Daphnia pulex: one gene and its partners. The protein of the gene in region 1 interacts with the protein of each later gene in a pairwise test. Links are inferred from orthologs where the notes say so. Each region holds a gene or a part of one and is shown on either strand. Other genes may lie near its edges. The genes, in order: peroxisome assembly protein 12-like, peroxisome biogenesis factor 10-like and peroxisomal biogenesis factor 19-like.

The links.
Region 2: the proteins of peroxisome assembly protein 12-like (region 1) and peroxisome biogenesis factor 10-like interact in a two-hybrid assay, tested with the Homo sapiens proteins (4 studies listed by BioGRID, with this or other methods). The link is inferred for Daphnia pulex from reciprocal best matches to the Homo sapiens genes PEX12 and PEX10.
Region 3: the proteins of peroxisome assembly protein 12-like (region 1) and peroxisomal biogenesis factor 19-like interact in a two-hybrid assay, tested with the Homo sapiens proteins (4 studies listed by BioGRID and IntAct, with this or other methods). The link is inferred for Daphnia pulex from reciprocal best matches to the Homo sapiens genes PEX12 and PEX19.

The regions. Positions count from the first base shown.
Region 1 is NC_060025.1:2,869,082-2,872,274, reverse strand, and holds peroxisome assembly protein 12-like, read left to right. Parts: upstream 1-1,275; 5' UTR 1,276-1,431; coding exon 1,432-1,557; intron 1,558-1,616; coding exon 1,617-1,725; intron 1,726-1,810; coding exon 1,811-2,354; intron 2,355-2,415; coding exon 2,416-2,533; 3' UTR 2,534-2,639; downstream 2,640-3,193. UniProt on the Homo sapiens protein: Component of a retrotranslocation channel required for peroxisome organization by mediating export of the PEX5 receptor from peroxisomes to the cytosol, thereby promoting PEX5 recycling.
Region 2 is NC_060026.1:15,822,351-15,825,975, reverse strand, and holds peroxisome biogenesis factor 10-like, read right to left. Parts: upstream 2,346-3,625; 5' UTR 1,857-2,345; coding exon 1,742-1,856; intron 1,666-1,741; coding exon 1,508-1,665; intron 1,453-1,507; coding exon 1,201-1,452; intron 1,143-1,200; coding exon 987-1,142; intron 916-986; coding exon 694-915; 3' UTR 613-693; downstream 1-612.
Region 3 is NC_060022.1:6,084,987-6,088,545, forward strand, and holds peroxisomal biogenesis factor 19-like, read left to right. Parts: upstream 1-1,556; 5' UTR 1,557-1,713; coding exon 1,714-1,816; intron 1,817-1,881; coding exon 1,882-2,207; intron 2,208-2,278; coding exon 2,279-2,470; intron 2,471-2,537; coding exon 2,538-2,741; intron 2,742-2,801; coding exon 2,802-2,900; 3' UTR 2,901-3,015; downstream 3,016-3,559. Other genes in the region: DNA-binding protein Ets97D-like, read right to left, coding at 3,057-3,421, 3,499-3,559. UniProt on the Homo sapiens protein: Necessary for early peroxisomal biogenesis. Acts both as a cytosolic chaperone and as an import receptor for peroxisomal membrane proteins (PMPs).

The DNA of each region.
Region 1 (3,193 bases):
ATCCACCGCCATGGTGCGCACTAGTCGACTAGCCGCACGACTTTTCCCTCTACTTACACGAACCAAATGGAAAAACCTCTATCGAAAGTTTTTTCTTTTTTACGATTGGTTTGCCTGACATTTTGCCTACCAGAATGGTGTTGACAGAAAACGAGTTGTCGCCGTTCCCCACCAGACGACACTAGCGTAATAGGGAAGCCGCGAGAGGAAAAGTGGTGCACGCCTTGTGTGATATATTGCACTTGTGCAGTCAGACATGGGTTGGTTCGTCCCACAGCCCGACGCCAACGACATCTAGGCCCGGAATATCTTGATTAACTGAACGCCATCTTGGGAAAGAAACCTAAAACAATAACGTTAAACAGGGGCGTCCCTAAACTGCGAAAGCGAAACGCGAAACGCGAAACGCCTAAAATGCGGAAAAGCTGTGCGAAACGGACCAAAATTTTGGGACCGTTTCGCGGGACCAAATGCCGGAGGGCATACTAAAGAGCGAAACATCTTGCGAAACAAAAAGTTTTCCTTTTCATCACAGAGGTCCAAATTGACGGAGATTGCCGCCATTTTTCATTGTCTCCCGCTATGATGAGGCATTAAAGGAGGAAGGGGGGCAATCAAATTCGATTTCTTCGCCACTACCCCTGTATGTTTTCATGCGCATTTTACGATTATTAAACTAATGAAAGACATAGAGCAGCACGTTATGGTGATATTTTTAAATAATAAAATATTAGGTAATGGCCCAGGGATTATACATTACATTAAATAATTTAAATCAACCAGTAGGTACGTGCACAAAGAAAGAATCGGCCATAACAGTATGAGTGCCTTATATCAAGCTAAAAATCAAAGCTACCATGTTCCAAATCAAGCTAAAATTCAATCAGCTAAAACTTTCCTTAAAATTAAGAATGTTAATCTGATTGATACTGATACATGGAAACGAGAAGTTCCATTAATTTTTTTTATACCAATCTTCTAATTAAAAACACCTATTGCATATTGCATTCAAGGTATTTCGTATTCATGGTCAACACACAAATAGACCAGCGGACCAGCCATAAGGTGCGCGAAACTCGAAGTCTCGAAAATTTGAAACTCTTAACAAATTGTTTGTTGACGGCGTCCATTGTCGTCTGCTACCAAGACGTTTACACTGCGACGTTTCGCACACACCGATTTCGCAGTTTAGTACGGACCCAAAGACTAAAATGCGAAACAGGGTCCCAAAATTTTGGTCCGTTTCGCACAGCTGTTTCGCATTTTAGGCGTTTCGCGTTTCGCGTTTCGCTTTCGCAGTTTAGGGACGCCCTTAAACAGTGCTGTATTTTTGTTTGACACAAAAAAAGCAAGACAAATTCATGTAATAAAAACAACATTATGCCGTTTTCTTTTGAATAAGCAAGGTTTTTAAATTTGAGTACTTACGTTATGGCTGAAAGAGGGGCGCATTTAAGTCAGTTACTTCTAGATTCTAGTAGGCCATCGATTTTTGAGTTAGTTGCTCAGGAAGGACTTAATCAAGCCCTTCGTGGGACCATAAAGTTCGTCTTCAGGGTACGTTTGTAACACATTCAATTGAAATAAAAGAACTACCAACTCTATATCAATTGTAGGTGTGTGCTAATCATTATCCAGAAACATTTGGTTTATCATTTCGCTGGGCAAATGAAATTCAGTTACTATTTGATTGTTTTCTGCAAAACTATTACCTACGAAACTATGGTTTGTTGATAATTTTTCTTCAACTTATTTACATTTTTGAAATACGTCTTTGTGATTTACAGAAATGTTGTGCTTTTTTTTTCAGGAGCTTCATTTGCTGAAAATTTTTATGGATTAGAACGAGTCACAAAAGAAGACTGCACTTTGAATGGGAAAGGAACACTTCACTCTCTAATCAGTTTGACAATTCTGCCATATGCCTTGTCCAAATTAGATGCCTACTTTTCAGAAAGGCAGCAGCACAACCAGCAACATCCTGTTCTCAACTTTTCGAGTATCCGGTTCATCTATGATTTGACAGTCTTAGTGAACTGGATGCTCTATACATGGGGCAAATCTGTGACCCATTCACCTATTTTGCACCTTCTTGGATTGAAGTTAAAACATGGTGGTGACAACAGTAGCCCTGGCATTTCACTCACTAAAATAATTGAACTGAGTGCCTTCTTCATCCAATTTCTTGAGTGGTGGTTTACTAATCAGTCATCACAGGCTAAGAGTATGCTTTCCTTACCCATTCCACCTCCTCCACATTCCATTGTACAGAATCAACACTCCAAACCAAGGACTGGTGTTTGTCCCCTTTGTCAACAGCAATGGAAAAATGAGTGCGTTCTTCGCGTATCAGGGTAACTTAAATCATTAAGAAATACTTCGAACTGTAATTATATCTCACCATTTTTTTCACAGTTATGTTTACTGCTATCGCTGTATTTTGCCCTACCTAAAAGAGAATAACAAATGCCCCATCTCCAAGCTTCCAGCATCCCCAAATGACCTGATACGTATATTTGCCAACGCCGAGTAAACAACGTCCCAAAGATTTGCAGATTTCGATCCTGTGGAACAAATTGCACAATATTGATGTTAACTTACTTTCAAACAGATACATATAAATACAAGATTGAAATACATCTAGAAACATAATTAAATAAGTACGAACGAATTCCATCGCATCATTTATTAGACTGGTATCTCCATCGAAATCTTTTAAATATATGGGGAAGCGTTTCTCACATTTTACTCAAACACAAGCAAATGAAACAATACTCAAACAAATGTAACCGACGGATAGCTGGGCGTCTTTTGAGACCTCGAGGACATAACACAAACGGAAAAAAGGTAATAATAAAAATAAATAAATACATAATACGACGTCTCTTGCTATGTCCTTTTTCCCTTCTTTCACTATTCCATAAATGTATGCTTTTTTAATTTTGTTTTTTTAAAGGTGAGGTCGCGGTTTTATTAATTTATTCACTCTCAAAGTACGAGATGATGACCATCGGGATGTGGAATGTTCACCGTATTTTTGTTTTCATCGAGCTTTTTCATGAAACGCGGAGTAAATTTTAAAGACGGCCAAACCGAAACAATCGAGTGGAAAGCGCAAGTTTCCTTTCATATAAAAAGTATAAGGTGGGAGGGAGGAGGGAGACGAGGAGGGAGTGAGGACTGGAACAAGAGT
Region 2 (3,625 bases), on another chromosome or scaffold:
AAGAGAAAGAAGCTCTAAACTTTCTCCCCATCTGATGTCGAACTTCCTCCCGTCGTTTCGGAACGATATTAAACAGGAGACGCCCTAATGTTCAGTCGTTTGAAACGTTCTCATCCGTTTTTTCTTTCTTTTTCCAGGTCAAAATGCTACCGCGTACTGGAATGGTAAAAGGAGACACGAGTCATTATGATGTTTTCTTTTCGACACGATCTCCGTTCCGGCGAAAGTAGATTTATTTCGTTGATTTGCTGCCCATCTTGTTTTAAAAATTTCCCATGAAGTAATGTTTTAGTTGGCCGCTAGGTGTCGAGTGCTGTCAGTTGAAGCCATATTTTAATACAAAATAGTTGTGGACTAGTGCGTACTCGATACCCTGGGTCTGACTGTGTCCTCTTTAGGGAAAAAGCACGTGACAATTCAAGAAAATGCTTCCGACGAACGAGACAGCCTGTTTGTCTAGATGACGATATTACAATCTTCTGATAAATTCAGGTTAGACTTTTTGACTAATCTCTTCTTTGTGTCTCGTAAAATGTCTCCTCTGGTTAAGATCTAAGACGCGATTCCCTTTTAAATCGAACGAATGTGGATTTTTGAATGAAGAAGGCTGGCTCGTCAAAAACATAGCGAGTTTTATTTCAACACATTGTGCAAAACATTTTCACAAAATAGCTGTTTGGACTCTGACATAGATTATTCATAATTCAATAATGGCACAATTCTTGAAGGTTGCACACTTTCTCTGCAAAGAGGACACTCATGCTTGGTTTGCAACCATTGCAAAATACATTGCCAGCAGAACAGGTGGCCACATGGGGTGCAGGCTGTGTTTTTTCTTGAATCCCAACAAAGGGAACATTTCGCTGTTGTCGAGGGTGATGTGCCAGCACATTTTTCACTAGAACTGTCCACCACCTGTGTTTAGCATTTGCTTAGCTTTAATGAGGGTTTCAAAATGGAAAGGAATTTTGTTGAGAAATACTTACCGAAATTGCACTGGAATTGTTTTTGGAACTGCCATTTTTCCATTTGGTAATGGAATTTGTAAGTAAAAGTAGAACAAGGTGTGTAAGGGCCATTTGCCCAATGAACTTGAATGTTGGGTTGTAATTTTCTGTTTTCAAGTAGTCTGTAGCGAATACCTAGAAATAGAATATTGGATTAATTTGCTTGGGTATTTGTAATCTAATGCAGTCTTACGTAATGGATCTTGGCCATTCTCTGAGATAGCCTGTAGTATTTCCCGTACATGTAGAATAAAACCAAGTTGAGTCGCCCCACCCAAAAACTGCTGCTGTGAATCAGCTCTGTCAGCAATAAAATGTAATCTCTGGCTTTGGGTGTTAAATCAGGGATATTTTCTGGATTTCGTAGCCAGGTGTCCAGCTTTTTCATGACTTGACTGAACAGCCGTGGTCCTAATACTTGCAGAGTGATGGCAGTAAGCCTTGTCTAAATAGAAACTTTGTTAATGTCAGGTACTAGTGCTTGTTATATTGTTATTTACCAATTTAGAGGGAAGAGCCCTTAATGTTGGATTGACTTGTATGAGCCCTACATATTCCTCTCCGAGGGTTTGATTGTCCAACAAGGTGGTCAAGGTGTAATATAGGAAGACACAGGTGAGGTCCGATAGCCACTGGACCTTCAGCCATGTCTGATTTCCTGTGTGTACAGCAAGATGGTAAACAATGAGAAGGTCACTGCTAGAAAAAATTTCCACTTAAAAACAGTTGTTTACCGAAAAGACGTTGTACAATGTCAGCCAGTTCGTTCTTGATGGTGTTGATATAAGACTCATCCTTTTGGGAGGCTCGAAGGATCTCGGGTGGATTGGCTTCCACGAACACGGCCATATTTTTTAAGAAAAAAAGAAAACAATCGAAAAAACTTGTCTATACTCTCACGGAGAGCCTGTTGTAAAGGACGGACAAATGGTGGCGACCATCCACTGGTTTAGACGTCCGGGGAATGAATAAATATGGTGATCATTCCAACGAAAGCGAGACTCGAGAGAGTGACCTTTGAAGCTCCCGTGTGTAGATGATGACACAATCGGGTCAAGGCCATTTGTTATTTTCTATGGTAAACCACAACGGCGCAGACCCGGCCCGACGTCGTACGTCGATGTGTTACAAGAAGTGAAAATGTAGGTCTTTCCCATAGACACACACAAACGTTTTTATTGCTTCTGTGTACTCTTATTTTTTAAATAGCAACTTTCTTTCGACTTGGTTTTTGGCCTCGAGCAAGATTATTACGGTTATCAGTATATTATTTTACACGACTTTCTTTTGATTAGCTTCTTTATTTAATTGCGTTGACGGCCACTATGGCGTAAAACTATTTTGACGTGTAGCCGTCGAGAAGTGGCAATGTTGAGCGTTAGATGGCGTGCGAGTAGCTGTCGACTGCTTGTAAAATACACAGAGAGGGTGGTGTTGGGGGGGAAGGAAGAAGCCCCTGTGGACAACTAGGAGGAAATAGACTAGAGGAGCTCAACTACTACTACAGAGGCGTTAGCAATGGCTGCCCTCAGTGTGTAAAGTGCCCTCGCGCGTTGCAGAAACAGGCCGGAGGAGTTCATCTCCGGTAGTTTTTTTAGTTGTTCAGTGTAGGAATCAGTCAGTCGAGCTGTAATCATTAAAAAAATTAATCTTTAAACAAGCAGAGAGTTTTGATCAGCAGTTTTAATTCATTAATATATATTATCCATCCCCTCTACTTTTGAGATTTTTTCAAAAAAATCATTCACCCCAAGCGAAAAAGTGTGTGTGTTTGAGTGAGTGTGTGCGAGTGTGTATACAAGTCAATCCCCCCACACATATATTTCTCTCTTCTTCTTCTCCAAAAACTCGCCGTCGTCGTCGTTCTTCTTCTTTTTACACACACACACACACACCAAATAACAAAACAATCCCCTTCGACTTCCGTTTTGCTTTGGCTGCTCTTCTTGTCCTAATCGAAACTGTAGAAGAAGTGAACTCGTCTCTCCACTTCTTCATTCAATTTCCTTCTCTTGATTTTTCTTCCTCCCGGCGTCTCCCCTATCTCTCTCTCTCGGCTGTAATCCAAGACACACACACACAGACAGACAAGTCAGAAGAGAGAAAATTTTAATAATTCCGACTGGAACATTTTCAACCTTCCAAAAAACTCCCGAGGTATTGATTCTCTTTTTTGGAAAAAATATTTTAGACTCGCCTAAAAAATATGTAGGGTTCTAGACCCACTATTTTTGTGTAATCTGATTATAAATGTATCATTGTGGAATGTCGATCGATCGACTTTTTATCTTTTTTTCCCCCCTTAAAAAACTTAACTTTTTTTATTTTCTGTTTGTTGCAGTCATCCGAGCCCTTGTGTAACTTTTTGGGAACCCGGGCACAGGTGCCGTGGATAGGAATCTAATCAATTAATCAACCAACGTGGCGAGGCTATTTCGGCTGGAATCAAATAGAAAAAAGTTTTATTTTTGACAAGTGAGTTTTTGTTTCATTAACTAAGCGATTGACAAAATTTTTAATTTTCTTATTCTCTTGATTTTTAAGGTTTCCAAAGTTTGTGAAAGAAGATGGACAACATGGATGCTCACTCGCAGTCGCAGCATGGCGACAACACCACC
Region 3 (3,559 bases), on another chromosome or scaffold:
GTACCTTCCGTGAGCTTGTGCTCGATTTTGAAACCACCGGCAATGTCCATTAAGTTCATTATTATGGTTTAGAGAACAGTAAAGAGTCTTTCATTCAATGTTATGCCCTTTAGGAATGGAGCTTTAAGAGGGTGATCCGAAACTCGAAAGCAATCAAAGCAATTTGTTCCCCATATCGAAAATTTTTATTTTTAATTCCACGTTAAACTTGAAGTGCTCTTCCAGTGCTTTTCTCCTTTTTGTGTATCGTTTCTCCTTACATGCAAATACTGAGCACCCATACAGTTTTCCCCGGTCTTATTAGTACTTAGGAGGTGCTACGAATCATTTGGCTATGATCATTTGTTCTCGTTTAACAGTGGTTAAACTGTGTCTTTTTTAAAGAGTAAAAATGTCCCCCAAACGAACTTCAGCCGAATTCATTACCAATAGAAATTGCAGCCTAAATGTTCGTCCTGTAACTTTATCACATAAAGGTTATTAATCCGTTACAGCTATAAGCTGTTATCTAAAATGATTTAAAACTCTGTTAGAATATGGATCGCGTGTTTAAAACCAAAATTTTTTTATTAACTAGTATCAGGGGTGAAATTGGGTTGGTGCAGGTCATGTTGAATGTTTACATTTTTAATGAATGAAATACAGATGCATTACTTGCATTTTTTTAAGTTCACTCATTTTGATTCATACTTGAATTTCCATTTTATCAGCATTCAACACATTATGTGTCAATTATTTTTTTAAGCAATTGAAGTTTGCCTTAAAAAAAAAAATGACTCCACCATCTCGAAATCATACCAGGTAGGCTAGATGGTGAATTTTCTTGATTTGGTGAACATTCGCGATGTGTCATTCCAGAATCGGTAGTACAGCAATTCGTGAAGAAGAGAAGAGGAAGAATAAAACGAAGCAAGATATTGGAGGATCAGTGAAAACTACTACTCATGTATTGATTTTGGTATCAGCAATGGACAAGCACTATTGCGGCAAGGCAGACCACCGTGTACGTTATAGAATATCACAATTTTTACTGTCATTTTGTCGGAAGACATATTACCTTTACCAACTGAACGTACTTTTTCAAAATTCCTTCTTTCATAGCTTTTAATTTGGGTCTGGCAGGTAAGTGAAATTGATTTGAACTTTGAAGCAAAGGCGGGATGGTAACGACTGCTCGACTGGTAACAACGGGATATAACGACATGTTCGATGTTCTGTTTTCATTTGTTAAAGCAAGACTAAGCTTAAAGCAACCGCCCTAATGGAAATCTTTGATTTTGACTATGTTACGAAATATTACTGTTAGGTTTAGAAAATATTTATGAATGAGCAGTCGCTTCTGTTATTCAGAACAAAAAATACATTTTACTCTCCCAATAAAGACGCAAAATTCAAAACCTAAAAAAAAAGTGATTTGTTTTAATTCATTTTTCACGCCAAATATAATTTTAATAAACAAGCATTCATGAATCATGATGAAGCGCATCTGCTTCATTCACGCACGCACGAACCATCACTAAATACCGAATGATTTCGGCAACATCGCGTTTTATTTATGAGGTAGTATTTCGTCGTCTTGTCTGGTCTTGCACTCTTTTCCTTGTCGAAATTTCCGGATGAGCAAGTTTTGAAGCCTGTGTCGATATTATTGATATCGAAATCTATTTCTACTTATACAATTCTGTACTTTGCTGTAAATAGATACATTTCAGTATGAGTGGAACCGGTTCTAATGATCCAAAGTCTGTACAAGATACGGCAGATATTAAAGAAGAATCTAAAGGAGATGACGAAGAACTAGACGCTTTACTTGACGGTATGTAGTTTAAACTAACTAGTTATTTGCCAACAAAGGAATAAAACATTCATTAAATGTAACAGATGCCCTGGAAGGATTTGACAAGCCACTGCAAGTGCCCAAAACAAAAGACAATGTTAAAGCCGAAGCAGCAGCACCTACAGATCAAGTATCAGATGTTGTGTGGTCTGAGGAGTTTATTCAAGAAGCGAGTTTGGAATTTGAGAAAAATATTCGTTTGATGATGGCAGAAACAGCACCAGGGGCCAGTGGTGATTCTGGATTTGCTGAAAGTTTGTTAAAGGTATCACAAGAAGCTGCAGCTAAAGTATTTGAAAGACAACCAGACCAGGGAGCATCCTTTGCTGATACTCTACGCTATTTAGCAGAAGGAACAGAATCACTTCAGGTAAATTTTTGTGGGTAGGATAAACCAAACTTTTTTATTTTTACTTTAACATGTCCTTATTTTTTCCATAGACTGAAGCTGATGAAGCTACATTAGCCAAAATGCTTGAAAAAATGGCATTTGGACCAGATGGGGGATTTGGAGATGGTGCTGGTGGAGATATGGGAGGTTTGGGTGACATTTTACCTGCAATGCAAGGAATGCTTCAAAGTTTGTTATCAAAGGAGTTGCTTTATCCATCTATCAAAGAGATTGTTAGCAAGGTAAGCATTCACTTGAGAACTGATGATAGTCAATCTTGTCTCTCATAACTTATTGTTATCTCCTTAGTACCCAGATTGGCTCGCAGACAATCGGCCGAAATTAGAACCTGCGCAATTTGAAAAATACAACCGCCAATACGCCGTTATGCAGCAAGTGTGTACCGAATTCGAAAATGATAACGACACTGATGATGCAGCGACGAAAAATAGTCGCTTTGAAAAGATATTAACTTTGATGCAACAAATGCAAGAATGTGGCCATCCCCCTAAAGTGAGTGCGACTACGAATAATTTGATTGATTTTCATTTAATGAAAAATCTTAATTTCAAGGAACTGGCTGGTGAAGCTGAACTGCTACCGAATCCCTTCGGTGGCGCGGATTTTGCTCAATCGATGGGACCTGGTGCCGAAAATTGTGTTGTTATGTAATTAATATAGTATGTTATAAAACATGTTTTTGTTATTGAAATTGGGCTATAAAAGGTATTAGAAGGTCGTTAAAAAAAATTGTTTGAACGGCATTACAACTTAATTTTATCATTAATGGCGTCAATTCTCAATGATTTAAACAAATACGTTTTGTATTTACACGTATGACGAACTTGCCCGTCTCATTTTGGATCGTTGCTCACACTCTGTTACAAGCTTATTAAGTTCATCAGCCGAATAGCCCAACAGTTGTTTGAGGTCACAAACAAATTTATACACAAATCGTTTACCGCTTACTTTGCAAATCATATCGCCATCATAATAATACCTCAGGGCTCGACTGAGTTTCTCATAGTTCATGTGTGGTTTGTTTTTCCTTTCTCCCCATAGTTGAGCCACCATTTCGGGGTTATTTAATTTGAATTCTCCTCCTGTCCCAAGCCAAGAAATAGCATCCCGGAAATTCACATCGGTCAACAGCTCAAGGAGAAACTGCCAGAGTTGTACCTGGCCATTGCTGCCTGTGAAACGGACAAGTTAATTCAAGTTAAAATCACCTTGATCATTAAAGCATACATATACTATATTTTTTAAATACCTGTTCGGTTTCCTGAGTTAGCAATCGAGAACGAACGCGAGGAAAATGTTTCAAGGGGAAT